2 linked regions of the Drosophila melanogaster genome follow. The gene in region 1 interacts genetically with each later gene. Each region holds a gene or a part of one and is shown on either strand. Other genes may lie near its edges. The genes, in order: FMRFa and wit.

Region 1 (6,769 bases):
AGCTGCTGGTCAAAAGCGTTAAGAGCGAAACAGAAAAGCCATAGGGAAATAAACAAAAAAGAGCAGAGCAGCAGCCGTGAATTGACAATGGCATTGACATCGAAACAGCGTCGCAGCATCTATTTTATTAGGTATATTTTCAGCCAGGGCTGCACCTAATCGGGCTAATCAAAGTGGCCAAGATGCGAGTGCGAAGCGGCCTGTTGGTCAGTTGACCTGACCTCTGCTCAACTAGCGTTTTGGCCAGAAGCATAAAAAATGCCACGAGATACTCACATGTAGGCTCGAAGTTAAAAATATTCTTATATTTCAATATATTTTCAATCAATATGGTTGTATTAAGCTGCCTAACCTTTTAAATCAGTTATGGCGAGTACTGATAATAAAGAATAAACTGAGTACTATGACAAACTAGTTTTGATTATTAACAAAAGTTGCTTATTGTTCGGACCTTGTACGTAATAAAATATCTGTTTTCCATTACACAACAAGCAATCAGATTCATAAAGAAATATTTTCCATAAGTAACAAAATGAAAACAGATATCTATAAAAGTTACACTTTAATAATATATATAACCTCATTGTTACAGTTGTTTAAAGCTTAGACTTTGCAACTGATTAAATGTGGACATATACTTTTAAGATAGAATTAGCCGAAAATATGTAACTAACAACTAAACATGGGGTTGACTTCAAAGTTACCACATCATTTGGGTTATAAAACTTATAAAAAAATACTATGCAAGAATCTTATTTTTTTATGGCGTGCATAATATGAGGTCTTTTACAAAAAACAAAAGTCATCAGTGAAGTAAACAACAAGTTTTATTTAAATTCGAAGATATTTATAAATTTAAGGCATACAAATGCAAATGAATTAACAATAAAAGCTTCTGGGGTGAGTCCATAGATTACAGAGCAGCGCAGTTTTCTTGACCAGATGATGGTCTAGCTGAACTATTTTTAACTGGGCGATTGGCACACGACTTGGCCTGGTCATCAAACTCAAGCCAAGATTTGAACTTGAACTAGTCTCGCCTTATCACATTGCCTTCTAATTCGTTTTCATTTTCGATTTTCGCATCTACTTATGCTAATGAAGCCATCTGCAGACGTGGTTTTCGAACGTATTTATATTGATTATGGGTGATCGTCAACAAGAGCAGTGGACACCCAATAAACCTGTCCAAAAACCCGACACATTTCTGCCCAGTCATGCGTGGTGGACAATAGCCAAATGCCATTGATGAGACTCGTCTCCAAAACTTTGGCCTTTTGCCGGGCCGTAATTACAGACTTCCGTCTTTTGAACAGTTTTTTCAGCCCCACCCAAGAGTCGAGTCTTGAAAAGCTGGCTGGGATGGGGTGGTTTCGGGTGCTGGACGAGATGCCAGAGGCGCCACAATGTATCCTGTTACAGGTTACAGGGCCATAAAGCGCCATAAACGCCGCGACGGCAATGGCAAATTATAACGCATACGGACACGTAGTCGATCCACTGGCTAGAAGGCTAATTGGACGTGCCCGGCCAGGATGTCCCTGCTCATCCCACAGTCGACTTAAAAGTGGGCGTAACATAACAATTGTGGGCGATTTGCATACAATTTGGTGCTCGAGTGGCCACCTAACTGGCGTCGAAATGTTGCTACGTCATTGTTGCTGCCCCTCGTGCTTCTTGGCTAATAAGTCAGCATGAATGCGGTCTGTGTTTTGGCCTTTTGTCCCGCTGACAACCGCTGACAAGCAAAACAAACATATCAGCGGCTGACCAGCGACCATTTGCCGACATTGTCAAGGTTTTTTTTTCAGCCCCGAATACACCTGCTAATCTGTGGTGGTGACTAGCGCGCTCGGAAGGCAGAAAAAACTGCAGCGAAAATCAGTTCCATTGAATGTCCTCTGGCAACATGTTGCCGCAGCACTTGTTGCGCGCGTCCACTCGCAGAGGCACCTCAACATCAGCCTCCTTGGGCGCCAGCACAAAGGACGCAACGCATATAAAACAGGATGTTTCGCCAAACATCCTCACAGAACTGTTCCACCTTCGAGCGGGCAACAAGTGTGTGTGCGGCCCAAAAGGATCCCCAGACCTTCGAATTCACTCTAGTTTCCTAGTAAGGGGACAGGTTTCAGAGGTGAGTGCCATGCGAAAAGTGTGAAAACAGTGCTGAGCCTTAAGCAGTCGAGTTATTCTTTGGAAAAGCCAATAGCCAATTAGTGGCAATTGCTTTAAATGAAAAAGCTAAAATCACTTGGTAACTTTCGCCTATTGGCAACTATGCCACAAAAGAATAGTTACTATGATATTATTCGAATAAATACATAGAGTTGGATATAAGGATATGAGGTTTGACATTTTGCGTTTCGTGTACATTAATAAGTTTGCCTCGTAAAAGCGTCAAATAACATGCTATAATTCCCAAATCCGGGTAATTTTTAATTGGCCCAAAAGTGTTTGCCAAACTAACGCCAACTAATTCGGTTTTGTCAACTTTTCGACTGTCCGTCCCACATGGAAACTTAGTTGGAGCGAGCGAAAAACCAACAACAAGGAAATAGTTTTCCTCGTATCCAGCAGACACTGGGAATGGCAACAGCCATTTCGGTTAATGAAGGCAAATTGAAATATTTATGAGTGCACTTTTGGGTCCCAGGACGAGGCTAGATTTCCATTTGCATTCGCACCTGCGCTGGAAAATGCGGAAATGGTGGTGTTAACAGCCGGACCTCAAGAACCCAAGAACAGTAAAGCGAAGCGTGTGCAATTTTTGATTTATCGCCGACAGTGGACAAGTGAAATGCCCCGCGGGCCCATCATTTGTCTCCCGAGGTGTCCCACACGTGCAGCTCCAGCCTGACAAATGATATTTAAATGCCCCGCCACGGTTAATGTGCTCCGCATGCATGAATCCTGCAAATCCAGGATGCGTAGTGCGGGCGGGCGGCTGGAGGTGTTGCCAGGGCAGCTACTTCAAAGATATCAAACGTATCGCATATGCCATGCAAATCAGTTTAGGCCTGCCCCGAATCCCGGGTTTCATCTTCCATCTACCATTTGCCATCTACCACCATCTTGCCATCTTCCATTTGCCATCATTCCTGGGCGGGCTGGCTAAGCGAATTAACGAGTTTGTTATTGATACCTCCCATTCCTGGTTCCCTCGACTTTTAGCCTTACGCCCAAAACAAATAAGGCGGCAGCGCGTCACATTTATGAATTTTAAATGCACATTTCGGCATCGCAAATCAATCAGACATTTGGCAATTGTTGTCTACCCACTTCAAATTCGCTGACTCCTTGCCTCTGGAGAGGCTGTCTGTCATATTTTGGCCGCGGCAGTGTGTCTTGCAACATATCCAGTTGGAGCCCATAAATTAAACGACGCTTGACTAGTTTCCTCTTTTATGTTATGGGACCCTTGAGTTTCCCTCGCCTGTTGCAATCGCTGGCTGCAAATGCACATGCAACTGTAAGTGCAATTGCCACTGCAACACTCTGTTGCCCATTAAAATCTCAGCTGAGAAGTGCGTATGCAAATCTTTAGACGGTTTGTCTGGGCCATCGTCTTCGCACTCTTGAACACTCGATTGCCTGAATGCGGCTCTGATTGCCGCCCCGACATCGAATTAAGCGAGTACCGCCGAAAGTATGTTAATGCTCGTGGTTGCGAAGTTTGCTCATCAGACGGCGACTTGGAGGTCAAGTTTTTGTTGTGAGTTGTCTGGGCAAGTTTTTAATTTATCCAAACGGAGCACTCAAACATCGACGGCACAGAAGTGCTAATTGACCACTGGCTGGCGGTTGGGAAAACCCCTGATTTTCCACTTCCTGCAACATTGTTGCAGCCATTGCAAAACACATTTCAATATTTTTGAAAACGAAAGAAAGTAAATATAGCCACATAAAGATGGCAGATAATAACGATTATTATCTATGAGTTGAGAAGCGAAAGAGTGGCATTTAGCATGAAGATTTGTTAGCCATATCCCCACGTTAACAGGGCTTGCAGAAAGTTGACGCCCAGATTTTAAAGTGGTAACTAAAATTTAATGACTAATGTTTTAGTTGTGTGTCATCAGTTGATTGAATACCATCAAGCAGACGTGCAGCATTAGCAATCTTAGCCAAGATAGAAATATTAGCAGGCGAAAAGGGTTTGGTGACCCCAATGTTTTATGTGTTTTCAGTCACATCAGAGAGAAGAAAGTGAAGTACAGCAGCGCACCTTTGTACCATCCCCAATGGACCTGGCTATTCAATTTTGAACACTCATGAGTGCCGCTAGGTCCTGCTACCTGGTAGCTGCAACCTGTTGCAGATGCCACGTTCACAATGCGCTGACACGGCACTCAGTGGATCAGCTTGCCTTGAGCAGGCCTCGCAGGCTGAGCCGTCACCATATCCAAAAGCCATAATCATTTGCATCTCTAATGGTGCTGGCGTCGTCGTCCTCGTCCGGACACCATACATCAACCGCCCTGCTCCCCTGGCACTTCCTCTCATCGCCCACTTCGCCGGGCTTTCCGAACAAGTGTTAATGCCTGTAAACCTGGTTATATGCCGATGTGGGTGGATGAGTGGTGGTGGCTAAGTGGGTGGCTAAGTGGGTGTGAGGGCCCATTGTCGTGGCATGCCATTGTTGTGGTTTTAATGCGGCTGGTTAACTTTTAACGCGCCGGCCCAACAGATCTGGCCATAAATATCATGATGGTTAATTAGCAGGACACTTTGTCTGCGCGTCCTGGCTGCCGGTGGCTACTGTTACCCTAAGTAAAACGAACGGTCTTAATGTGATTAAAAGTTGCAATAGATAACGCGAGATGCCGCCGCCTCATAATTATCCTGCCGTCACTCCATTCTTATCCTTGCAGATGGGCATTGCCTTGATGTTCCTGCTGGCCCTGTACCAGATGCAGTCGGCCATCCACAGCGAGATCATCGATACGCCCAACTATGCGGGCAACTCGTTGCAGGACGCTGACTCCGAGGTGAGTCCACCGCAGGACAATGACCTGGTAGATGCACTGCTCGGCAACGATCAGACCGAGAGGGCGGAGCTGGAGTTCCGGCACCCCATCTCTGTGATTGGCATCGACTACTCGAAGAACGCCGTGGTGCTGCACTTCCAGAAACACGGCCGGAAACCGCGCTACAAGTACGATCCCGAGCTGGAGGCCAAGCGAAGGTCCGTGCAGGACAACTTCATGCACTTCGGCAAGAGGCAGGCGGAGCAGCTGCCACCGGAGGGCAGCTATGCTGAATCCGATGAACTGGAGGGCATGGCCAAGCGAGCAGCTATGGATCGGTATGGCAGAGATCCCAAGCAGGACTTCATGCGGTTTGGTCGGGATCCGAAACAGGACTTCATGAGGTTTGGCAGGGATCCAAAGCAGGACTTCATGAGATTCGGTCGGGATCCCAAGCAGGATTTCATGAGATTCGGTCGAGATCCCAAGCAGGATTTCATGAGGTTTGGACGCACTCCGGCTGAGGATTTCATGAGGTTCGGACGCACTCCGGCGGAGGACTTCATGAGGTTCGGACGCTCCGACAATTTCATGCGCTTCGGACGCAGTCCCCACGAGGAGCTTCGCAGTCCCAAACAGGATTTCATGCGATTCGGTCGCCCGGACAACTTCATGCGCTTCGGGCGTTCCGCTCCGCAGGATTTTGTGCGCTCCGGGAAGATGGACTCAAACTTCATTCGATTCGGTAAGAGCTTGAAGCCGGCGGCTCCCGAGTCCAAGCCAGTCAAGTCCAATCAAGGCAACCCAGGCGAACGCAGTCCAGTGGACAAGGCCATGACGGAGCTGTTCAAGAAACAGGAGCTGCAGGATCAGCAGGTGAAGAACGGCGCACAGGCGACCACCACGCAGGATGGGAGTGTGGAACAGGACCAGTTCTTCGGCCAGTGAGGTAGTCCTGCGGGACGCCTCCTTGTAAATAGATATGGACAAATGTACGCAAGGATCTAAATTGATATACGTATATAACCCACTCCTCACACGAACTCCTGACTTATGCCTGAACTATGAATTTTTAATGAATGGGCTGGATTAAAAATTCACCGTGCTTTGAAGTTCTTATCTATAAATATATCTAGTGTAATATTGAAGAAATTGAAATTGGCGTGAATAAAATCCTGTGGCAACATTTTAAATAAAGATTGCTTTACTGTAAATTATAGCGCACTCGAATAGTCTTATTTCATTTCGGTCGAGGTACATATTGTATAGCCATTATTAGTTTCTCCACTGGTCAGAATCTGGAGTTCTACAACCATAAGTACATTGGATACTCTTGTAACCAGTATCAAAATATGTCTACCGTTTACTATATTTCTTCATCTATCATTTAGTTATATTATTTAATATGAATTAGGATTTTACCATTATCAAATTTAATCTAATATGCATCTAATATTTTATGTATTGATGATTTAATATATACTCCTTTTCTATACAAGGAAAGTTAGAAATGAATTGAAAACTGTTTTCATGTTCGAATGATAACCACTCTCAAATGCTTGACAACTCTGGTCCGGTTTGTGACATCGCTAGAATCTCTTTTGTATACCAGTTTATCAAGATGGGTCGAGTCCGTGGAGAGTGGTCATTTTTAGTACCACTCATTCTTATCGCCCAGCTGTAAGCATTAAGAAACCGCTGGCTTAAGAATAGAAACCAAACAGCTTTATTTTTCAGTTTGATTAGTTTATTTCGATTCCAAGTTGGTAATCTCTAGTGCTGAATACACATAGGCGAAC
Region 2 (5,248 bases), on another chromosome or scaffold:
GTAAATGGCAAAGCAAATGTTCCTTTAACTCAGCCTGTTTTCCGTGTAATATTTTCAAGTTTTTCTTCAGTTTCATGTGACTTTGGATCGTTCCACATGTTCTAGAAATCAACTTTAGAACAGAAACCGCTTTGGGGCATAGCATTTGCATACATCATCCAAGACAAACTAGTTTGTTTACGAAAACAATATGCTAATCCAATCTTTAATACCCCAGCAACCAGGTTCTGATAAGGCCCCATATCATATATCGTATTTGTATATCGTAAATGGTGTTTTTCATCTTACCATCCGTAGAAAGTTCACCGTATTTGTGTGGCCATTGGAGAGCATGTCCTGGACCTGAAAGCTGTCTCGCAGTTGTTTCCTTTCCAAGTTCAGAAAAGCCTGCAGGCCGAAACTTTGAATGAGCTTATGGGATTGGACTTTGAAGCTTGGGATGTGGTAAGAAGCCAGACTCAAAAGCTATTGACGAAGGGTTCAGAATTGGACCACAATGTGGACTTGAAGGCGGTGTAAGTCGGATTTATTATAATAATTTATTATTCATAGTTAATAATTTATTTATTTATCAGTTCCATTGTGCCACAGTCTGAGATCAAGCTGCACCTGCCTGCACAGATTGGTGACTATACAGACTTTTACTCATCCATCCACCATGCCACCAATGTCGGCATTATGTTCCGTGGACCAGACAATGCTCTGATGCCCAACTGGCGCCATCTGCCGGTGGGCTATCATGGTCGTGCAAGTTCTGTGGTGGTTTCCGGTACTCCCATCCGTCGTCCTCTTGGTCAAACGTTTCCCGATGGAGCAGAGAAGCCCGTCTTTGGCGCCTGCAAGCTTCTGGATTTCGAACTAGAAATGGCTTTCTTTATCGGTGGTAAGGGAAATCAGCTGGGTGAACCCATACGCGTGGATGAGGCCTGGAAGAACGTGTTCGGTTTCACGCTGATGAACGACTGGAGTGCCAGGGATATTCAGAAGTGGGAATATGTGCCACTGGGCCCCTTCACCGCAAAGAATCTGGGAACCACCATCTCCCCTTGGGTAGTGCCCACAGCTGCCCTGAAGCCCTTCGTCTTGGACAACTTTCCTCAGGAACCGGAGGTGCTTCCCTATCTGCGCCAGAACATTCCCTTTAACTTTGATATCAACCTCGAGGTGTCTTTGAAACGTAAGTTGCCGCCTGTTAAAGATTTGTTACGTTAATTCACAAAATTTCCCCTTCTCAGCCGCCGATCAAAACGAAGCGCTTATTTCAAAGTCGAACTTCAAACACCTTTATTGGACTCCACTGCAGCAAATCGCTCATCACACAGTCACCGGTTGTAATCTGCGTCCTGGTGATCTGATGGCCTCCGGAACGATCTCCGGTGAGACTCCAGACTCGTACGGATCACTTTTAGAGCTCTGCTGGAAGGGCACCAAAACATTGGAGCTTCCGGGTGGTAAGACCAGAAAATTCCTCCAGGACTTTGACGAGGTCATCATCCGTGGCCACTGCGAAAAGAACGGACTGCGAATCGGATTCGGGGAGTGTGTGGGTCAGGTGCTGCCTGCCCACCCCGTTCCGCAGTAGGACCACTTATTAACATAAGTAAATGAAATAAATTCTATTCAGTCTTCCTGGATACGTCAATACATTATGATGTTCGGAAAACTTCAACTTTTCGTTCAAAAGCATACTTTTTGGGATAAATGGCCATCCATAGTAGCGTATACGTAATATTTTTTCTCGGTGCACAGTAATAAGCTCAACAAGTGCTCAACTCTTTCGCTCTCTCGCTACGATGCCTTGCTCTCTTTCGTTTACACAACTCTCGCTCCAATCGGAGCCTCTGCCATTCCACGCAGCTTCGTAAATACGCGCACGCCGCTTCTTCTTTGGCTGCAGAGAAGAGCGGAGAGCGCCAATGGGAGCATAGCTGAGCGGAGCAGCAAACCGCATTCATTCCTCGAAAGTCGGCGGGCGAAGGTGGGCGCGCTGCGAAAAGTCAAACGGCAAAACGGCAGAAAGGCAAAACGGCCCGCCTATCGGGCAAACTTGTTTAAAGTGCCATAAAAAAGCCTCTAAAAAGCGTAGAAATAAAAAAAGCTGCCGTGCAGCGCAAAGCAGACGCGACTGGCGCCGGTGCCCCAATAATAAATTTTCCGACGAGTGTGCAACTTCTTTCGGTTATTTAAAACAAAAGAAATAAATAAGTAATACAACTTAAAGTGCAAGTGCAGTGGTTGAATAGCGCCCTGAATTAAGTGTAAGTGCTGCTCGCAAATTGAAATTAAAATTAGTGCAGAATAGTGCAAATGTTTTCCGCAAACAACGCTGAATGTCTTGGAAAAATCAATTTTTTACTCCACTCTGCGCAAGTACACACACACAAATACGCTGACTAGCGAAGGGCAGACGGCGGGTTGGGGTGGGCCACCCACCCTGGCAGAAAACACTCTGTCTGCTCACAGTACACATGCACTGTTAGAAATGTTAATATCTTTTGCACATTATCACATAGTATGCATATGGATGTTCTTTAAAGATATGTATGTAGAACAATTGCGTTCGAGTAGTAGGATCAAGGGGCCATTGAAATTATTCGTATTTTGGATACATTATAAAATAATATACAACCCATTTGTTTACTGTGTGGAATGAAGTCAACAAGAGACCTCCGAATCCATACCCATTCAAATTCCCTTCGCCATTGTTGTTCTTGCTGTCCTCCGCCGACTGCATGCACTTTTGTGTTTTTGCATTGATTTTCCACATCGTTTTTTACACCGACTGTCGCAGTTTGGCCAAATGCATCTGCAGCACGAAGATGTATCCCCCGAATGGCGCGGATGTGTCTGAGGATGGGGACATGGACAAATGCACACGCAGCACGCAAAAAGTTAATCAGGCCCCAAAGAACAACAAAACGGTGGGGCCCAAAACACACTAACAGCGAAGGAGAATGTGAGCCTAAAGACAGTTTTATACCCTGTGATAAAACGAACTATAAACTAACATAGGTTCCTGTGTTACAATGTGATTTTTCTTAATTCATAAGTATTAGGAAAATTTATTGGTGCAAGATTTTAATGCAAGATAGTTTTAGAGCGTGTTGGGTACACCCTGACAAGTGTAGGGTATCGAGCAGTATTTGCAATTAACTGGCGCCGTCGGCTATCGTGCGAGAGCAGCCGGCGGGTTCCGCCTCCTCGCCCGCGGGTCCTCCTTCGGCCCACTCCACGGAGCACTTGGGACAGCGCCAGTTGAACCTGTTTTGGCGCGCCAGAGACACCGCTCTCTAGCTTCTTGAGTTCTCTTCATGTGCGCATTTGCTGAAAGTGGAGAAAGGAGAGGAAACCAGAAGCGAAATGGGAGAAAAGAAAGGCCAGAAATAGCGTCCCTTCGAAATTATAATTGCTCTATAAATTGAACATTATTATAATCATGATACAAGAAATATTGTACGAAAATGGAAAAGGAACAGAAAATATTCTATTCGGAGCTTTTCTTCAACTGGGCTTTATCGCGTTGACGCATCTTCCAAAGTTTTTTCTGGCGGACGAGGTCGACAAGATCAAGTGGTGATTGCGGGACGACTTTCGACATGATAGCATCCAGTTTGGAGTTAATCATGTTAACCAAAAGTCCGACTGCATTGACAACCGACTGCTGATCATTTGGATCCACTTCCAACAAGGCTTCTGGTATTGGTATTTCTTGAGCTGGAGAGTGCTCTGAAGAACCCGATGAAGAGTCAGAGTCCTCGCTTAGATTGGCCTCTAATATGGCTTTCGCTAATTTTTCAGTTATCGAATCCTGTGAGGAACCTGATGATGGGTCGGACTCCTCGTTCTCATCTGAACCATCACAGTAATCTTTCGACACGTCTGATGAATCGGAATCCATTTGCAAACTCTTCTTCGCGTTGGAATCCTCAGTGGTGTCCGAATCCTTATTGCTACGATTTGGGTTCTGCATGAAATGTGGTAAATGGAATATGAATGCACTCAGGACACAATTAACCAACAACATACCATCTTATTCATCTTTCTGAAGAGTTGCAAAATAGTTAAGCACAATGACGAAGCCAATAAAATTCACTGCAATCCAGAAAATGAAGTAAACGAACACAAGTTCTCCACTCATGACATTCGAGTTCAGAATGAAATAGTTAGTTGGATATTCTATGATATCGATTTGACAAGTAACTTACAGCGTGCTGGATAATAAAATTAGCAATCCCACAAAATCGAATCGAATCGTTCTCTGCAAAAATTGCTGAATAATTCTATTAGCTGTTGGTCAGCTGTTTCAGGCAAAAGGAACTGTCAAACATTTTGACAGTTCATCAACCCCTACCAGAGTTGTCACCATCTATGGCGAAATAATCTAGTATTTATTTAATGCTAGATTTTTTGTAAATCAACATATCGCGCTTTTGCTTTCATTCTTGATTCACTTGCATGAATTTCTTGAATGGAAAATGCCATAAACAATAGCCGTAATCGCATGATAAGTCTATCCTGAACTGTCTGATAAATTGCTTATCTTGGCTTAAATTTCATGCCTCGTCACCCACAATTAACCCAAATGCCGCCGATGCAAATTTGTTACCAGCTAGGTATAAACACATTTTTATTTGCCAGTGTGTACATACATATGTATTTATATGTATAAGACAAGCTAACGTATCCTATAATTGGAGCGTAATAACTTTAACCAGCCACATAATTAATGACGGCAAAATTTCTAATCAGCATTCAGGGGGGAAACGAGTGTGAGGTGGAGTGTTTTCAAGAATGCGTGCTTATATACATATGTACATATGTACCTTTCGTTAATGGATGATAAGGGGGATAAATTAAAGGTAGTTCATTCATAGGGGTACACAATTGTGTAAATATATTCTCGCAGTTCCATCTAGATGCTCCACACTGCAATCGAGCCTCAAGTGAAATGATTCCTATTCTGGCGGCGCCTGGTTCCAAATCGGTTCCAAAGTGCAACCGTTCCCTCGAGACTTGGAGTGGGTGGGTGCTTGTGGTTCCCTCATTTGATCCCCCCAGCCCCCGCAACGTAGACAGACTTTGATGGAGACGCTTGGCGATCGGTAGTGTTCGATTGTGGAGCTGTGCGAGTATTTGGGTCTGGCCATTATCATCGGCGGGTCGACTTGATATAGACGGAGAGCTCGCGAATTGTCATCGTCTATTGATACGCCAACCGAATGTGAGATTTTTGTGGTGGGGACCAGAG

What was found.
Region 2: of FMRFa (region 1) and wit, changing one suppresses a phenotype caused by changing the other (phenotypic suppression), as found in Drosophila melanogaster (one study listed by BioGRID).

What each region holds. Positions count from the first base shown.
Region 1 is NT_033778.4:9,904,265-9,911,033, forward strand, and holds FMRFa (FMRFamide), read left to right. Parts: upstream 1-2,029; 5' UTR 2,030-2,137; intron 2,138-4,874; coding exon 4,875-5,918; 3' UTR 5,919-6,193; downstream 6,194-6,769. UniProt on the Drosophila melanogaster protein: In insects, FMRFamide and related peptides have modulatory actions at skeletal neuromuscular junctions, and peptides that are immunologically related to FMRFamide are released into the circulation from neurohemal organs.
Region 2 is NT_037436.4:4,068,419-4,073,666, reverse strand, and holds the start of wit (wishful thinking), read left to right. Parts: upstream 1-1,949; 5' UTR 1,950-2,258; intron 2,259-3,385; exon of another isoform or gene 3,386-3,484; coding exon of another isoform or gene 3,485-3,964; intron 3,965-4,026; coding exon of another isoform or gene 4,027-4,038; exon of another isoform or gene 4,039-4,178; intron 4,179-4,205; exon of another isoform or gene 4,206-4,298; intron 4,299-5,248. Other genes in the region: Faa (fumarylacetoacetase), read left to right, coding at 298-515, 576-1,177, 1,236-1,582; CG32259 (uncharacterized protein), read right to left, coding at 3,485-3,964, 4,027-4,038.